2 linked regions of the Rattus norvegicus genome follow. Each later gene encodes a partner of the first gene's protein in a complex. Links are inferred from orthologs where the notes say so. Each region holds a gene or a part of one and is shown on either strand. Other genes may lie near its edges.

What was found.
Region 2: the proteins of Cfb (region 1) and Cfp are in contact, whole or in part, in a crystal structure (PDB 7NOZ), measured with the Homo sapiens proteins. The link is inferred for Rattus norvegicus from reciprocal best matches to the Homo sapiens genes CFB and CFP. Residues at the interface, in NP_001701.2 of Homo sapiens: Glu54, Gln56, Ser78, Thr316, Tyr317, Leu349, Ser351, Met394; in NP_001138724.1 of Homo sapiens: Arg329, Arg330, Asn331, Lys333, Pro341, Met420, Val421.

The regions. Positions count from the first base shown.
Region 1 is NC_086038.1:3,971,748-3,980,952, forward strand, and holds the start of Cfb (complement factor B precursor), read left to right. Parts: upstream 1-3,523; 5' UTR 3,524-3,734; coding exon 3,735-3,795; intron 3,796-3,882; coding exon 3,883-4,116; intron 4,117-4,631; coding exon 4,632-4,817; intron 4,818-4,909; coding exon 4,910-5,083; intron 5,084-5,219; coding exon 5,220-5,321; intron 5,322-5,422; coding exon 5,423-5,559; intron 5,560-5,751; coding exon 5,752-5,890; intron 5,891-6,260; coding exon 6,261-6,392; intron 6,393-6,499; coding exon 6,500-6,601; intron 6,602-6,676; coding exon 6,677-6,814; intron 6,815-7,221; coding exon 7,222-7,319; intron 7,320-7,681; coding exon 7,682-7,799; intron 7,800-7,989; coding exon 7,990-8,143; intron 8,144-8,240; coding exon 8,241-8,317; intron 8,318-8,487; coding exon 8,488-8,588; intron 8,589-8,672; coding exon 8,673-8,805; intron 8,806-8,879; coding exon 8,880-8,929; intron 8,930-9,178; coding exon 9,179-9,205. Other genes in the region: complement C2, read left to right, coding at 985-1,125, 1,256-1,350, 1,439-1,556, 1,659-1,824, 1,933-2,009, 2,163-2,254, 2,401-2,527, 2,648-2,697 and 1 more.
Region 2 is NC_086039.1:3,712,237-3,721,458, forward strand, and holds Cfp (properdin precursor), read left to right. Parts: upstream 1-3,314; 5' UTR 3,315-3,333; coding exon 3,334-3,397; intron 3,398-3,479; coding exon 3,480-3,630; intron 3,631-4,999; coding exon 5,000-5,175; intron 5,176-5,580; coding exon 5,581-5,751; intron 5,752-5,874; coding exon 5,875-6,066; intron 6,067-6,285; coding exon 6,286-6,459; intron 6,460-6,698; coding exon 6,699-6,890; intron 6,891-7,032; coding exon 7,033-7,144; intron 7,145-8,649; coding exon 8,650-8,815; 3' UTR 8,816-8,877; downstream 8,878-9,222. UniProt on the Homo sapiens protein: A positive regulator of the alternate pathway (AP) of complement. It binds to and stabilizes the C3- and C5-convertase enzyme complexes. Inhibits CFI-CFH mediated degradation of Complement C3 beta chain (C3b).

The sequences.
Region 1 (9,205 bases):
GCTTTGTTTTGTTTTATTTATTTTTTTTTTTGTTTTGTCTGCCAGGTAAGTACTCTGCCACTGAGCTATAACCCCAGGCCTCTGTTTACTTTTGTTCTAGACACTTACTTTTGATCTATGTGTATGTGTGTGTCTGTGTGAGTACCTTTGGAGGGTGGAAGAGGATGTCACCTCTCCCCAGAGCTGGACATACAAGCAATGGGTGCCGGAGACTGAACTCTGGTCTTCTGGAAGAGTAGCAAGTGCTCCAGACCACTGAGCATCCCAACCTTCTTTTCTGTTATTTTTGGGATGGGCCCAGGCTGACCTCCAACTCACTAGGTAGCTTAGGCTGATCTTACTGACTCCATCTCCTGAGTGCCAGTAACACAACGTGAAGGACCCTGGTGGTGCACACCTTTAACCCCAGCACTTGGGAGGCAGAGGCAGGCAGGTCTCTGTGAGTTCGAGGCCAGCCTAGTCTACAGAGAGTGAGCCCTACTTCTGATTCAGATCACATCCACAATAGAATTGAACTTGGAAACATTCCTTTGGGAACACACGGTGCTATACACAGGATAGAAACAAGGTAGCCCTTCAGCATTCAAGTGGTGACATGATGTGAAGCCAAGAGGGGGTGGCGTGGGAGGGTACTGGGCATTGTAGGTTCAGAAGACATTGCTGAGGAAGACCTGTGTGGGCATCTGGAGGAGAGCGCCCCAGCCAGAGGTGCAGCTGGAGCTGAGGCCTGAGGAGGGAATCTAGGAGGCTGTGGGGGGCTGGGTGGCAGTAGGAGAGGAAGTGAACGTGTGTGTGTGTGTGTGTGTGTGTGTGTGTGTGTGTGTGTGTGTGTGTGTATGTGTGTGTGTGTGTGTGTGTGTGTGTGAAGGAGATGGAGCCCATCTAACTCAGGCCTTTGTCGGCTTTGAGAGTTCAAACACCTGCCTCATGTCTTGGGTGGCCCCTTGAGTCTCAGGCTCTGGTGATTTCCCTCCTGCCTGCCAGACATCTATGCGATTGGGGTGGGTAAGCTGGATGTGGACTGGAAGGAACTGAACGAGCTGGGGTCCAAGAAGGACGGCGAGAGGCACGCCTTCATCTTGCAGGACGCAAAAGCTGTGCAGCAGGTCTTTGAGCACATTCTGGGTGAGTGAGCTTCGTGTCCCCTGCGGGGGACAGCACAGTGGGCACTCAGACGGGTGGGGGGGGGGCTCACCACGAAGCCTGGATCGGTGGCCCTCACCCCCGTCCCCTCCCATCTGGTCTTCGCCCATAGATGTCTCTAAGCTCACAGACACCATCTGTGGGGTGGGGAACATGTCCGTCAATGCCTCTGACCAGGAGAGGACACCTTGGCAAGTCACCTTTAAGGTATCAGGAAGGAGGGGCAGGGTTCGGGTCACAGAGGTTTAAAAGCAGCCAGGCACGGCAAACCCGGACTGCTGTCTCTTCCCTGCAGCCCAAGAGTAAGGAGACTTGCCAGGGGTCGCTTATCTCTGACCAGTGGGTGCTGACTGCGGCTCACTGCTTCCATGACGCTCAGATGGAGGACCGCCACCTGTGGAGGGTCATCGTGGGTAAGTCAGGGGCTGCAGGGGACCGACCCCTCACCCGCAAGGCCAGAGTCACCACTGTCTCTCCTCAGCCTTTGGTCCGGTCTAACCCACTGCTGTTCTCAGGGGATCCCACCTCTCATCACGGCAAAGAATTCCATGTGGAGGAGGTGTTAGTTGCCCCTGGGTTTAATGTCCACGCAAAGCAGAGCCAGGGCATCTCGGAGTTCTACGCTGATGACATTGCCCTGCTGAAGCTGTCTCAGAGAGTGAAAATGTCCAGCCACGCCAGGTGCGTGGACCTAGGTGGGAGGGTACCCTAGAGAGGGCAGTGCTCTGGAAAGCACCAGAGGGCACAGGGAGGATGGGCCTGTCTGACGCTCGCTCGCCTTTCTCCCAGGCCCATCTGCCTTCCTTGCACAGTGGGGGCCAACATGGCTCTGCGGAGATCCCCAGGTAGTACCTGTAAAGACCATGGTGAGTGCTGGAGGCTTGAGGTCCTTGGTGGGTTGCGCCAGAGCTTGCTTGCGGGGTGCCAGCAGGGGTGGGGGGGGCTGCAGTCCTCGAGCTGGACACATCAGCTCTGGGTAAAGAGACCTGTATCGACATCCCCCTTCTCCCCGACGGCAGAGACAGAACTTCTGTCACAGCAGAAGGTTCCTGCGCATTTCGTAGCTCTGAACGGGAACAGAATGAACATCAACCTCAGGACAGGACCTGAGGTGAGAGCTCAGTGAGGGATGCTGGGATACTCTGGGGGGGGGGGCAGCTCCTAGAGTGTCCGGCCCTGTTTGGAGTCGGACCTCGCTGGTCTGCCTAATGTCTCCTGGCACGTCCCCATTCTTCTCTCCTGTGCCCCACGCTGCAGAGGACAAGCTGTATCGAGGCTGTCTCCCAAAACAAGGGCAGCTTCCCCGGCTTGACAAACGTCAGTGAGGTGGTGACAGACCAGTTCCTATGTAGCGGGATGGAGGGAGATGACAGTCCTTGCAAAGGTTAGTCTGGTCCCGGACTTCCAGGGAGAAAGAAGGCTGTGGTGTCCCCGTGGTCAGCACTCACTCTGAATACTAACTAGTGTGCTGTCCTGGACAATGCCGCCCTTTCTTTCTCTGCAGGAGAATCCGGGGGAGCCGTTTTCCTTGAGCGGAGGTACAGGTTTTTCCAGGTGAGAAGCAGGATCTGGAGAGGGGACTCACTGCCAGGATACAAGTGCTTTCTTGCTGGCAGCAGGTGGGAGGCCTTTGAGGGGAACCAGAGAGGTGGAGGCTTGGAGTGGGGCTGCCTTTATCTCCTCATGTTGTCTCTTCCCTCCAGGTGGGCCTGGTGAGTTGGGGTCTTTTTGACCCTTGTCACGGTTCCTCCAACAAAAACTTGCGCAGGAAGCCTCCGCATGGCGTTGTGCCTAGGGACTTCCACATCAGTCTCTTCCGGCTGCAGCCCTGGTTGAGGCAGCACCTGGATGGTGTCCTCGACTTTTTGCCCCTTTAACACGGTCACCGACTCCTTTGCTGGTCTGTCCCTCCTGTCTTCTGCCTCTGAGTGTTCTTGCTCCCAGGTACATAAATCCTGGAACGCAGAGACAAAAGCTAGGAATCCCCAGGGTTGTGCCAGAACCACTGTGCCCTCCCGAGAAGCAAGTGTCTCTCTAGTGTGGATGACCCGTGCTCCTTTTGCTTTCACACAGAATTTCCCAGTTATGAAATTAATAAAAATCAATGATTTCCACATCCGGTCTGTCTTATGTCTTGGGGGTGGGGAGGCCAGGAAGGTTCCAGGAAGGTCAGAGACCCTGCTGCACAAACAGTGGCTGGACTCTGCCCCATCACACAGCCCGGGGAAAACTGGTCTCTAAGTGGGGGGTGGCGGTGGGGGTGGTCTGGGCTTGTTACTAGGGTCTGGGGGCTAAGAGGGAGCTCTGAAAGGGAAGTTCTGGCCCTTGGTCAGTAAAGGGTGGGGCGCTCGCATAGTTTCTGTTTCCTCAGTTGGCAGCTCAGCAGGGGCCCTCCTTCATGAATGTTCCGGGAAGCAGCGTCTGTGCAGGGTAGGTTGGCCAGGCTGCAGGTGCCAGAGCAGATTGCATAAAAGGTTAGGGGCCGGTGGGAAAGGGGTGTAGCCAGATCCAGCACTGGAGTTTCAGTCTGGACAGCAAGTCAAGTAGCCACCCAGAGTGAACTGGAAAGGGCTTTTGGCCACGGGCTTTCCATGACAATGGAGGGTCCCCAGCTCTGCTTAGTCCTCTTGGTCTTAGGCCTCTCCTCCGGAGGTAAGCAAAGGACACTCCATCCTCTTTTTGTCCTCATCAGCTGTCTTTGGTCTTCTGGGGCCAGGCTTCACCAGCCTTTCTCCTCAGGTGTGAGCGCAACTCCAGTGCTTGAGGCCCGGCCCCAGGTCTCTTGCTCTCTGGAGGGAGTAGAGATCAAAGGCGGCTCCTTCCAACTTCTCCAAGACGGTCAGGCCCTGGAGTACCTGTGTCCCTCTGGCTTCTACCCATACCCTGTGCAGACTCGAACCTGCAAATCCACAGGCTCCTGGAGTGTCCTCCAGACCCGGGACCAAAAGATTGTCAAGAAGGCAGAATGCAGAGGTTGGGGGTTTGGGAGTGTGGCGGTGGGTGGCTGGTCAGAGCTGATGGAGGCTGTTCAGTGCCTGGCAGTCTGACCTGTGGGCCGGCTGAGCGTGGAAACACCTCGGGGGTTGGGGGTGCGTGTACGAAGGCTTTCCTCAGGCAGTGAAAACAATACTGGGAAACAGGGCAAGGGAGTCTGGAGATGTAGATCAGCTGGGAGAGTGCTCGCCTGCCGTGCATAAAGCAATGCTGTGCGAAGCAGGAGCAGGGGTGGCGCCCGCAATCCTAACGCTCAGGACATGGGGCCAGGAGGGGGACAAATTCAGTCATCTTCAGCTCCATAGCCAGTTTGAAGCCAGCCTGGGTTACATGAGCCCGTGTCTCAGAACAAAACAAAATAATCCCACAACACAAGAGGAGGGGACAGCAGGGTTGAGGGGACTGGGCAGGTACTGTTTCTCAGTGACAGGATTTCTAAGAGCAGGAAGGACCTAGAAACAGCTCTTGGTGACTTTTACCTGTCTCCCCTAAAGCAATACGCTGCCCACGACCACAGGACTTTGAAAATGGGGAGTTCTGGCCCCGGTCCCCCTACTACAACCTGAGTGATCAGATTTCTTTTCAATGCTATGATGGCTACACTCTCCGGGGCTCTGCTAATCGCACCTGCCAAGAGAATGGCCGGTGGGATGGGCAAACAGCAATCTGTGATGATGGAGGTGAGAACCAGGTCACCCCTGATTTTACTCCCTGCTGGAGGGCTTCACCGTGGGAATGCACGAGCACTCAAATTGTCTTCATGTCTCTGCAGCGGGATACTGTCCCAACCCGGGTATTCCTATTGGGACAAGGAAGGTGGGAAGCCAGTACCGTCTTGAAGACACTGTCACTTACCACTGTAGTCGGGGACTTGTCCTACGTGGCTCCCAGCAGCGAAGGTGCCAGGAAGGTGGCTCGTGGAGTGGGACAGAGCCTTCCTGCCAAGGTGACCCTTGACCTGCTTCCTGGGTTGGCTCTTGCCCTGTTGGCTCCACACTAGAAGTCTCTGGTCCTGAAATCCCATCACCCTGTCAGTACGTCCTCAGTACTCCAGACATCTGATCTACTCTGATCATCCCTAGATTCCTTCATGTACGACAGCCCTCAAGAGGTGGCCGAAGCATTTCTATCCTCCCTGACAGAGACCATCGAAGGAGCAGATGCGGAGGATGGGCACAGCCCAGGTTTGAATACAAGGAGGGAGGTTGAGCAGGAAGCTCAGGGAAGGGTGGGTGGCCTGCCAGGTACTGCACATGCCAGAGACTGAGACTCTGCTGGTACCTAGGGGAACAGCAGAAGAGGAAGATTATCCTGGACCCCTCGGGCTCCATGAATATCTACATGGTGCTGGATGGATCCGACAGCATCGGGGCCAGCAACTTCACAGGGGCCAAGCGGTGTCTCGCCAACTTGATTGAGAAGGTAGATCACAGCTTCCATCCCTTTGGAATAAGGGGAGCTTGTGTGGACTCCACTGCTCTTACAAGACTGGTTTCCTGTGTCTCCAGATTCTCTGGGTCCGAGTCCTGTTGTCCTCCAGCCTTCTCCCTGTCTCAGTAGGAGTGCTGACTACCCACCATAGTTTTAACACAATGGCCTCTTGCTCATGCACAGGTGGCGAGTTATGGGGTGAAGCCAAGATACGGTCTAGTGACATATGCCACAGTCCCCAAAGTCTTGGTCAGAGTGTCTGAGGAGAGGAGTAGTGATGCCGACTGGGTCACAGAGAAGCTCAACCAAATCAGTTATGAAGGTCAGAGGTCAGGGAAGGGAAAGCCGGGAGGTGCACCTTGGGGCTGTGGTGGTCAAGAGGCTCAGGGTTCTTCTGGAGAAAGTAGACAGACTACTACTAGTTAGAGGTTGAACGAAAGTGTCCTTGAGCAATAGAGAGTGCTGGGAGAGCCAAGGGCAAGCAGGTGATCACCTAAAAGTTAAATATTGCCTGGACTTGGTGGAACAAGCCTTTAATCCCAACATGCAAAAGGCAGGTGGATCTCTGAGAGTTCAAGGCCAGCATGGTCTACATAGTAAATGTTAAAGAATGTGGGATCTTAGTTGTCATAGACTTCTGAGGGGTAATAGTGGCTTGGAAGATAAGGTCAATAACCTCCCTTTCTCTATAGACCACAAGCTGAAGTCAGGGACCAACACCAAGAAGGCTCTCCAGGCTGTATACAGCATGATGAGCTGGCCAGGGGATGCTCCGCCTGAAGGCTGGAATCGAACCCGCCACGTCATCATCATCATGACTGATGGTAAGGCCTTTCTCCTACCCCACCGTCCTCTCAAGTCCTGCACAAGTGTTTGTCTCCAGCCGGTGTATCTTCCTTGACCCACTTTCACAATCCTCCTGTTTCCACAGGCTTGCACAACATGGGTGGAGACCCTGTCACTGTCATTGAGGACATCCGAGACTTGCTGGATATTGGCAGGGATCGCAAAAATCCCCGGGAGGATTATTTGGGTGAGTGGCTCACTTGGGATCCAGCACCCTCACTCCTCAGGGCCTGGACCCTTACCCTCTCCTTCTCTCCTTCAGATGTGTATGTGTTTGGGGTCGGGCCTCTGGTGGACCCTGTGAACATCAATGCCTTGGCTTCCAAAAAGAACAATGAGCAGCATGTGTTCAAGGTCAAGGACATGGAGGATCTGGAGAACGTCTTCTACAAAATGATCGGTAGGAAAGCTCAGGCTCAAGGGTGTGGAAGGGGAAGCTGCAGGCTGAGGTCGCCAACTCCTCTCACCCTATAGCCCTTAAAACCTGGAAGGCTCACCCCATGCCTATTCTTACTTCTGACATTCACTTCCTGACTTCTCACAATCACAGAACTGATAGCCTACTTTACAGATGTGGAAACTGAGGCCAAGCACAGCAAGTCAGCACCCAGACTGTAGCTAAAAATGCTCAGTCCTCAGATTGCCTGGTCAATCTTTCTCACTACGCCATGGGGGTTCCTCATTTAACACACAAGAGCCCTCTCTCCTGCTTTCCTTCCCTCTTCTGTGCCTCTGCTGTCTACAGACATGAAGGGATCCAACAAAAGTGGCAGCAATGACAAGCCTTCAGTGTTCTTTCCCTGACAGATGAAACCAAATCTCTGGGTCTCTGTGGCATGGTGTGGGAGCATCAGAAAGGCGGTGATTATTACAAGCAACCATGGCAAGCCAAGATCTCAGTCACTGTAAGCTTCCCAGCACTGGGGACTTGGGGAGGTGAGATGTCCACACTAGCTGTAATCCTGGCTGTTCAGGAAGCTGAGGCAGGGTAGATTCATGGCCTGCTTGGGCTACAGTGAGTTCAAGGTCAATCAATTCAAAACTGACTGAAAGTGGGAAAGGAAGCTGGGCATGGGACACATCCGTGCTGGTAACCTGGCATTTGGAAGTGAGCACAGCACTGCCTTGAGTCTCAGGTTAGTCTGGGCTACACAGTAAAGCTGTGTAGATGTAATGAAGAGAAGAAAGCTGGGGCTAGTGTTCACCTAGCTTGTACGAAGCTTGTCTCCAGCGCACACACCAAGGTTAGTCTGCACTGGCTTCCTAGCGTCCTCTGAAAGGACATGAGAACTGTATGGGGGCCGTGGTGTCCGAGTACTTCGTGCTGACAGCAGCGCATTGCTTCACAGTGGAAGATCAGAAACACTCCATCAAGGTCAACGTGGGTAAGACTCTGACCTCCAGGCCCATCCTCAGGAAGCACTGACGTTATGACCTGTAGCTCACCCATTCTCAGCATGCCCCTCCCTTAAACCCTGACCAATCAAGGATGGGGAAACAGAATCCAAGAGATAAGATGGGGCCAGAGGAAGGAGGCTGCTCACATAAACATGGTTCCCATTCTCCTTCACTCAGAGGGGAAAAGGCGGGACCTGGAGATTGAAGAGGTCCTGTTCCACCCTAATTACGACATCAATGGGAAAAAGGCAGAAGGAATCTCTGAGTTCTATGACTATGATGTTGCCCTCATCAAGCTCAAGACCAAGCTGAAGTACAGCCAGACTCTCAGGTGAGTGGGGCTGGGTCCCAGAGGAACTAGGGAAGGTGGGCTGGAGCATAGGACACAACAGGCTGTCTGTGGTCCCTCACTCTACCTGTCTCCATAGGCCCATCTGTCTCCCCTGCACAGAGGGAACCACCCGAGCCTTGCGGCTTCCTCAGACAGCCACCTGCAAACAGCACAGTAAGGCATAGTCTGGGCTAAGACAAGGAGGAGACTCCCGAGACAAAGGGGCAGAGGAGGGAGCTGCAAGTGTAAACTGCTCAGTTCAGGGCCTAGCACCTAAGGGCCCAAGGGACACCTGCTAGATGAGAAGCAAGGGGACAGCTGGCATGGCCCTTTTACTTTTCCAGAGGAAGAGTTGCTCCCTATGAAGGACGTCAAAGCTCTGTTTGTATCCGAGGAAGGGAAGAAGCTGACCCGGAAGGAGGTGTACATCAAGAATGGGGAAAAGGTGATAAGAAGTTTCTGGAGAGGGTCACATAGGCCTCATTCTTTCCTGAGCTAGTTTTGTTTACCACACCTTTGTCGCCTACAGAAAGCCAGTTGTGAGAGAGATGCTACAAAGGCCCAAGGCTATGAGAAGGTCAAAGTTGCCTCTGAGGTGGTCACCCCCAGGTTCCTGTGCACCGGAGGGGTAGATCCCTATGCTGACCCCAACACATGCAAAGGTGAGGTGGCTCTCTGGCTATGCGGCAAGCCCACACAGCCCAGCAGTCTCCCCTACAGCCTCTCTCTTCTACAGGAGACTCCGGGGGCCCTCTCATTGTTCACAAGAGAAGCCGCTTCATTCAAGTGAGTGGTCCCTTTTCCAGTCCATTGGGGAGATGCTCAGGTGTCACAAAAAAGGAAGCTTGATGTGCACGGCTGATAAAGGTGGCAGAACGGGCCCACCTCATCTGTTCTTAACTGGCCAGTGAAAGCCAGGTTATGTGCACCATAGAAGAGAGAGGAGCTGGCTCCCAGTGCACTTCTTTAGGCCAGCTCAGAAGCTTTCTGGGGTTATGAAGTGTCAAGTGACCATGGCCCTCCTTATCTACACAGGTTGGTGTGATCAGCTGGGGAGTAGTG
Region 2 (9,222 bases), on another chromosome or scaffold:
GACCTCCTCTCTTCTCTTTCTCCACAAGCCTCTCCAGCTGAGTCTCCTGAGTTAGTCTCCAATTCTCCAAAACTTGAAATGCTGGCCTTTACCCAGAACTCCTTCCTCATGCATTGTCTCTAGATAGCTTTATCTGGTCCTAGCACTTGAAATAGATGCTGCAAAGTGATGCCCACTTTTTTAAATATCCTCTTAGCACTTCCATATATTGATTGAGCAGATGTTTATTGTTTGTCTTCTGTTATCTCTTGCCTGTTTGTTGTCCTAAACACCTCATAGCTAACAAAATGAACAAAAGTTTCTGCCCTTCTCAATACTCAGGATTCTGAGGCAGCAGAGTTGCTAGGTGTGAGACTTGGGCTACACAGAAAGACCTTATTTTAAAACAACAGTTGTATTGAAGTCTGTCTGTGTATGTGTGTCTGTCTGTCTGTCTGTCTTTGTCTGTCTGTCTCAAGCCTGTAACCCCAGGTATTCAAGAGGGTAGCCATGAGTTCAAGGCCAACCTGAGCTAAATAGCAAGACCCTATTTCATCTCCCTTCCCGTTTTTTAATTAAAAAAAAAAAGACTTCCTTTGTTGGGTTGATACTCAGGGAAACTGACAGAACAGATAAGTAAATTCTATCAGGCAATAATAAATAAAACCAGACTCTCATTCTTTGTTTAAATAAGCAATCTGAAGTCATTTGAGTACCTTAGAAGTACGTGGGAAAAAAACTGTTGATACCCTTCATCCACAGGGGCTATGAGGATATATGCTGTGTAGGAACAAAAGAAATATCAATTCTAACATTAGTGAGGCAAAAGGTGATTGAATAATGCATTCAGAAAGAATTGCAGTCTAGTTTTTTACAAGATAATAGCACCCACAGCTATAGTCATGGAATCTTAACAAGATTCCTTTGTTCAATGCATACAGAGACAAATATACTCTCAGAGAACAAGGTACTTCTGTGGTGGATATTAACAGAATAATATTGTTTTAATAATAACAGGATAATAGTAACAAATTTTATCACCCCTACCCAAATCAAGTGCAGATTATTGAGGGACTTCTATTTTAATTCTGATCAACTTATTTTATCTTTTTTTTTTTTTCCGGAGCTGGGGACCGAACCCAGGGCCTTGCGGTTGCTAGGCAAGCACTCTACCTCTGAGCCAAATCCCCAACCCTTTTTTTTTAACTTATTTTATCTTAATTCAATTTGTAGACTGGTGCTCATCTGTGACTGCAAGAGAACAAGTGTCATCTTTCTTAAGCTCATTTTTGTGGATTATCAAGAGTGTTGTTTTTATTTATTTCTTTATTTTTGTGACCCTGGGAATCAAACCCAAGGTCCAGCTCATACTAGGTAGACAGTCTACCACTAAACTACATCCCCAGGGCACAAAGGTGCTGTTTTTACAGCAGATTCTACAGTTTCGCTCATTGAGGCTTGTTTTAAAAAAATTAAAAGCGGGTCTGTGGAGCTCAGATTTTCTTTGGGGAAAATGGGCTGAAGATGGATCAGTCACTAACACACTAACAGTGAAACAAGGCACTGTAAATTTTCTAGATATGACCCACCAAAAAAACTAAAAAGGGACCAGGGACCAAAATAGTGGTTCTCAAAACGTTCTTCCAAACAATATCAGTGTCTCCTGGGAATTTGTTAGACATCTGTTAATTTGTTAACCACACCTGCTGAATGAGCAACAGGTAGGATCCAACAATATGCAGTTGGATCAAGAAGCCCTATTAGTGATTCTTGTGTGTCCTAAGGCTAGAGAGTATTGGCACCCAAGAGGGGTCACAGGAGACCTTTGTGAAAAATTTTTACTGCTAGTTTCCCCTTGTAGAGTAAGTCCTTCAGAGGCAGTGATTTTTTTTCTGTCTCGTTAGAGAGCCATGTAATGCTGAGAACACTCAGTAGGTGCTCAATAACTGTTGAACAAACCAGTTTACTAAACACAGCCAGGCTGTGTAGCCAAGGATAGCCTTGAATTTCTGATCCTCTTGCCTCTACACTCCCCCACCCAAGTTGCTAATTTAAATGGTGCTAAGGAACAAACCAAGGGTTTCGTTAATGCTATGCTATCACTCTACCAACTGAGCTACACCTCTAACCTTTAAAAGGTTTTATTACATTTATTTAATTGAGGCGCTGCACATATGAGCCACAGCGCACATGTCAGAGGACAACTTGAGGAAGTCAGTTCTCTCCTTTATCCATGTGAGCCCTAGGAATTAAACCCAGGTCAACAAGTTTTGCAGCAAGCACCTTAACTGAGCATTCTCACCTCTACCCTGCCCCTTTTTAAATTTTATTTTTCAGACAGAATCCCACAAAAATCAGCCAGGGTAGCCTTGAACTCACACTGTAGCCTTGAACTTTCTTTCTGCTTGTTTCAACCTCCAAAGCAGCTAAGACTATAGGACTATACCTTTCAGGGTCCTGCTTGTGGGCACATTTTACAATAAAGGAAACAGGCTCAGAAGAGAATATTATCTGCCCTGGGTACTCTAATAGACTATGGCCCAGCTCTTTGTCTTTTCTCTATCCCTGTAGACTCTAAGGGTTTCTTCAGATGCACCCTCACACACCCTAGGCAATGTGTATGCCTGAACCTCCCCTATTCTGAATCGCTTCCCACACAATGCCACTTCCCTTTTTCACTTCCCTTGCATTGACCTCCCACACATACATGCTGACCACAGGAACCTCACTTTTAGGAAAGGGTTAGGCTTTCAAAATGGTAGTTAAAGTAGCTGCCCTGATGCCTTCTCCTTGACAGACTGACAAGGGCTTCCTTCATTTCACCCTTCTTCAGAAGCCCCATGAAATTGACCACTATAGTCAAGATTATATGAGCCACCCAAGGTGTTACTTGCCTGTTCAAGGCCAGCCTGGTGTACAAAGCAAATTTCAGGTGTGGCTATGTTGCAAAACCTTATCTCAAAAAAAAAAAAAAAAAAAGGAAAACCAAAGCTGAGAATTTAAAGTGACTTGCCAAGCCAAAGTTGACACACACCTAGGTGGTTATTGCTTCAGACTTTCAGGCTCCAGTGCCCTTTAGTGAGAATTTGTCTCCAAAGCATTGACTGAAAACTAAGATTTCTGGGTGGCGTGGGGTATTAGGTGACAAAGACTGAGTGACCAAGCAGGATCAAGGGTGACTCAGGAAATGGAGAGGGGAGAAAAGAGGAGGTAGAGTGCTCAAGGAAGAGGTCAGAGTTAAGGGGCCATACCCTCCCAGTTCCTCCTGCCCTGGGTTCCTCTTTCCAGAGCAGGTCAGTCCAGACAAAACCAAAGCCTCCTCTCTGTGAGGAGTGCAGAAACATAGTGTTCACAATGCCCGTTGGAATGCAAGCCCCTCAGTGGCTCCTGCTCCTATTGCTTATCCTGCCAACCACAGGTAAGTGGATAAGGGCCCACATGTCCTCCCAGGGATGTCCAGGCCGACCATACTCCTGATTGCCCATTCCTCTCCTCTGAAGGCTCAGACCCTGTGCTCTGCTTCACCCAGTATGAGGAGCCCTCTGGCAGGTGCAAAGGCCTACTTGGAAGAGACATCAGGGTGGAAGATTGCTGTCTCAACACTGCCTATGCCTTCCAGGAACATGATGGGGGCCTCTGTCAGTCATGCAGGTTTGGAGGAACCTAGGCTGAGCCCTATAATATAAAACTATACTCTCTGCCCTGGAGCTTCTAAGAGTGCCCCTCCCCCCACAAGCCCTCCTTATAACCATAGCTCAGGGTTTAAAAATCTTGGCACTGTTGCTTGGAGCTCTTTGTTGGGGGTATGAGCTCTTAGCTGTGCACTGTTTAGTAGTTTATAACATACCTGACCTTTTCCTAAATGTTTTTAATAACTCTCTGCACCGATTAATAGTGGGAATAGGGGTGTCTTTGTGCTTGGGACACTTCCTCCTCCTGGGTTGCTTCATCTAGCCTTGATATAAGGATTTGTGCCTGGTCTTAATTACATCTTCTTATGCCATGTTTGGTTGCTATCCCTGGAAAGCCTACATTTTTCTGAAGGGGAAGAGGAGGAATGGATCTGTGGAAGAAAGGAGGTTATGGTGAGGGGTACTGGGAGGAATGAAGAGAAGGAAAACTACAGTTAGGCTGTATTGTATGAGAGAAGATTTTTTTTAAATAACTGAATCCAGACACTGTGAAACGTCCCTTAGGAGAGACAAAATTAACCCTGATTTAAAAGTACTTTAAAAGTCAGGACTTCCTGTAAACATTGTGGGTGGAGTGCAACTTAGATATTTTTGATGGTGGCTTCATTCTCCTAACTTACAACAGATCATATTTGAATGCTTATCATATATAAAAGCATCATAGAAATGGAGGACTTTAGGGAAATTCTGAGGGCAATGCCAAATCTTTAATTCTGATGATTGTGCAATTCTTTTGTGGCAATTTGATCTCTGAAAGCACCATGAATCTCCTAATTATGACTTCCAGTTTACGTATGTTGAGCCTTACTATACTATAGATATATTTTATGACTGCTTACTATATATTCCAGATAACATTGTAAAGATGATGGGTTTGAAGATCTTGGAGAGCAGCTCTGGACCATTTATCATGCTAACAGTTCATGTCTCTTTAACACTGGCATGTACATACCCATATTAGCATGCAAACCCAGTCAGTCCTGTGCAGAAGCAAAGTGTATCGCTAGGATGTTTCTGAAGGAACTTCTGAACTTCTGTTTACTAAGTACTTCCTCTCTGCCTGATACTCTACAGGGTAGTGACCTATTGAGTTCCTGGCAGAAGTTCTGGGTTTTTTAGTCCTTAAATTTGCTTACTGTACATCTTCTGGCTTTGACCCTGGGGGGTTTCCAGGGCCCTTGCTATGAAGCGAAATGAAATTTATCATATATTTCCTGTATATTTACTTCTTCATGTTCAATCACCCACCATCCCTAAGTGGTAAGTCGGCTCTCAATGATGTATCCTGTCACTTCATACCAGGAGAGAACATAGGCTCCTCTTCACAGGTCCCCACAATGGTCAGCATGGTCCTCATGGGGGCCCTGCTCAGTTACATGCTCTGAGGGGTCCCAGCTGCGACACAGGCGCTGTGTGGGTAGGGGTGGACAGTGCTCTGAGAAGGCGGCTCCTGGAACTCTTGAGTGGCAGCTACAGGCCTGTGAGGATCAGCTATGCTGTCCAGGTAAGGAAGATGAGCAATGTGGACATGGACACAGCCCCCCCCTCCCCCCCCCGCTCCAGAAGAATCAGTATAGAGGCCCTGAGGACAGACCTTGTATGGCTTTAAGGGGAATGGAGGAGGCTAAGATTGCTGAAGGAGGATTTTCAAAAGTGAAGACATTGGCTTTAGTCTGAATGGTTTGGTTTATGGGATGGGGAGGAATTCGCTTTGACTGAATTTGGGAAGAGGGCAGGCCAAATGTGGAGCAGAGGGAAGAGTATGAAGGCTACCATAGTCCAGATGAGCAGTACTGCCAGGCCAGGTATAGGGAAAAGACATAGGACAGGATAAGATGATGTGGGACATACATGAAAGGAAGGAATCCTAGGTTGCCATCCCCACTTCCTTCTCTTTTTTCTTCCACAGAGATGGGTGGCTGGTCTGAGTGGGGACCCTGGGGGCCTTGCTCTGTCACCTGCTCCAAAGGAACCCAGACCCGTCAACGACTATGTGATAATCCTGCTCCTAAGTGTGGAGGCCATTGCCCCGGAGAGGCCCAGCAATCACAGGCCTGTGACACTCAGAAGATCTGCCCCAGTGAGTAAGAGTAGCAGGACATAGAAGGGATATCTAGAATGTTGGGCTACAGCCAGAAACTGCCAGGGAGAAAAGACTTTTATGCATGCTTGACCAGAGCTCATCCTTCTACTCTGACCACAGCACATGGGGCCTGGGCATCCTGGGGCCCCTGGAGCGCCTGCTCAGGATCATGCCTTGGCGGAGCTCAAGAACCTAAGGAGACACGAAGCCGCTCATGTTCTGCACCAGCACCTTCACACCAACCCCCTGGGAAGCCCTGCTCAGGAACAGCCTATGAGCATCGGGGCTGTAGTGGCCTACCACCTTGCCCAGGTATGCAGGGATGAGGCCATTGGCATGTAGCTAGTGGGGCTTTGGATTTCTGGCAAAGATGGTGTGCCATTTGAGGGAATGGAATTTCTTGTACCATGTGATGAGAAGCCTATCATCTGCAGACAATTTGCCTCAATGTCTAGAGGTGACATGGAAGGAAACTAGGGAGTATGCATGATTACAGTGGCTTTATTTTAACTTTCTTTCCTACTCCAACAGTGGCTGGTGGCTGGGGACCATGGGGCCCTTCAAGTCCCTGCCCGGTGACTTGTGGCCTGGGCCAGACCCTAGAACGACGGACATGTGATCACCCTGTACCCCGTCATGGGGGCCCCTTTTGTGCTGGTGATGCCACTCGGAAACACGTCTGTAACACAGCCATGCCTTGCCCTGGTTAGCAAGTCAAGAGGCACCATGCCCATGCCTAAGCCCCCTGCCCATCACTGCTGCCCACTTCTTGCTGCCAAAACCTTGTTCCTGCATGATTCTCCTCTTCCTGCCCCCATACCCTGGTTCACCTCTCTGCCTTCATCCCTACATCTGTTCACTCCCACTCCCTCCCAAAGCCTTCTTCAGTCCTTCCCCTGAAGCTCTTTACTGGCTACAAACCCTCTTACTCCTTGCCTCTACAGTAAATGGAGAGTGGGAGGCCTGGGGAAAATGGAGTCACTGCAGCCGTGTGAGAATGAAGTCCATCAGCTGTGATGAAATCCCAGGCCAGCAGTCACGTTCAAGGAGCTGTGGTGGCCGCAAATTTGATGGGCAGCCATGTACTGGGAAACTCCAAGATATTCGACACTGCTATGACATCCATAACTGTGTCTGTGAGTGACCCACAGGCAGCACAGTGAGAGTGGACAACCATGTAGTAGCTATGCTGGGTACCCTATGCCCCTTCAGTCTCCTTTTCTCATTGAGACCTCCAGTTTTGACTATATGACATTCTACTACCCATTGCCATTGCAGTGAAAGGTTCATGGTCACAGTGGAGTACCTGGGGTCTGTGCACACCACCATGTGGACCCAACCCCACCCGTGTCCGTCAGCGACTCTGCACACCTTTGCTCCCCAAGTACTCGTGAGTTGGGGAACATTGTGTTTCTAGGAGGGGGTCATGATGCTGAAGGATATGAGGGGAATTGGTTATACTGAACTGGAGCTTAGCCCCTGGATCAAAAGTGCCTACCTTGCCAGTGCCATCTCCTACCTTAGAGAAGAGGAGAGAAACAAAAGAAAGAGGAGAAGCAATTAGGGAAGACTTCACAGCCTCAGTTTCTAATGCAGCCACCTAGCTGGACTCCCATGCACACAATCCTTCATGTGGCCTTCTCACTGACCTCTTAGCATACTTTTGAGTTACTCAGTCATCCATGCCCTCCATTTATCCACTCCACATTTCACTACCTTGAAGTACTCCAAGGCCTTTCTAGCAACACTCACTAAAAAAGAACCCAAATCTATGGGTAGAAGGTACCCAGGTGAGTTGTGATAAAATGCATATAAAAATGACAGGTGAGTAGCAATGAGACTTGCACTACCCTCTGGACCTAGAAAACTAATTAGGCCTTTCTGGAGAAGCCTTCCTGACATCCAGATAGTGAGCAGGTTCTAGACAGAGCTGATTAGCCACCTTCAGTGTTTACTGGACACCACAGTGGCCCAGGAGTTAGAAAGGGTTAAGTTACCCATCCCTTCTTACACCACATAAATAAGGTTAAATGGTCTTTTTCCAGCTGTTAAGTGGCCTATCACTGGGATAGGATTTTCCAGATGTGGGGGATCAGACTGGTTCCTGAAGTTAGGAACCAGTTTTTAATTTCCTAAGTTTCCCACATAGTTAGAGGCTGTGTGGAAAAAGACCAATTGAGAGAGTCTGGGTGAAAATGAATAGTGAGCTTGCCTACAAGGAGAAATCTTACTGGAAAAAACCTTCCTGGATATAAGGTTCTATTTGTGTAAAGTGAGGAGGGACAAAGAAAAGAGAAAGGAAAAGGAAGAAGAGAGGAGTAGTGGCTTGAGATAGGCATTTAACATGAGTATGAGGAAAGAAAAAGGGTTTAGAGGTAAAAATATTCCTCTTATTGCCATTTTGTAGATTAGGGAAAACTGAGGCACAGGGGATCATCTTTCCTATTTCTTTATCAGAAATGACCCAATATCACAGTTAGACATAGAGTTAAATGCACAGTGAGATGTTAATTCAGGTGTAATGGTACAAACCTATAATCCTAACTGCTTAAAAGGCTGGAGCCAAAAGGACCATGTTTAAGACTTTTCTAGATTACAGAATGAGTTCAAGGTTAGCCTGGGTAAAAGAGGGAAAGGGTCAGTAGAACCTAAAAAACAAACAAATAAACAGAATGCTATGCTATGGGAGCATGGAGGAACATTTGCCTAGCAAGTACAAAGTCCTAGGTTTTGTCTCTAATACCACAAAAAAATTGATGAGACTTGCCTGTAATTCCCACATTTGGGAAGCTGAGGCAGGGATATCATTGAGTTTGAGATTAAAAAAACAGTTTTTTTCAATACATTTTTGCCTTACCTGAGCTTTTCTCCTCCATTGCTTTCCCAACACCCCAGGCCTACAGTTTCCATGGTTGAAGGTCAGGGTGAGAAGAATGTTACCTTCTGGGGGATCCCACGGCCACTGTGTGAGGTGCTACAGGGGCAGAAGCTGGTGGTGGAAGAGAAACGGCCATGTCTACATGTGCCTTCCTGCAGAGATCCAGAAGAGAAGAAACCCTAAAATCCCTTGCCTCCATTCTGACCCCCTGACCTTCTAAACCTCAATAAACCAGCCTTTCTAGATTCTTTCTAAGATTCCTTAAAGAAGAAGAGGGGAGCCTGCCCCCATTCCTAAAAGTGGGCAGTAGAATTTTTTAGAGCAACATAGCAATGGCCCATTGTGACTTATTCTGTTGTATTGTGTTTGTAGCCTGGAAAGCCGGAAAGTAAGTATCCAAACCCAGCCTGTCTTTGCCACGAATATAAAGAAGTGGGACTAGACAGGAGGGCAACAAAGTGGGGTTTGCCATTGGCTACTCACCTTAGCAGGAACTTTTTGATTGACCGGTGTGCTATTTAGTTGCTCTCTCTTACTTTAATGAAGTTTCCTGGGTTCCCACCCACTTACCAGGGCATCTCAGCGAGCAG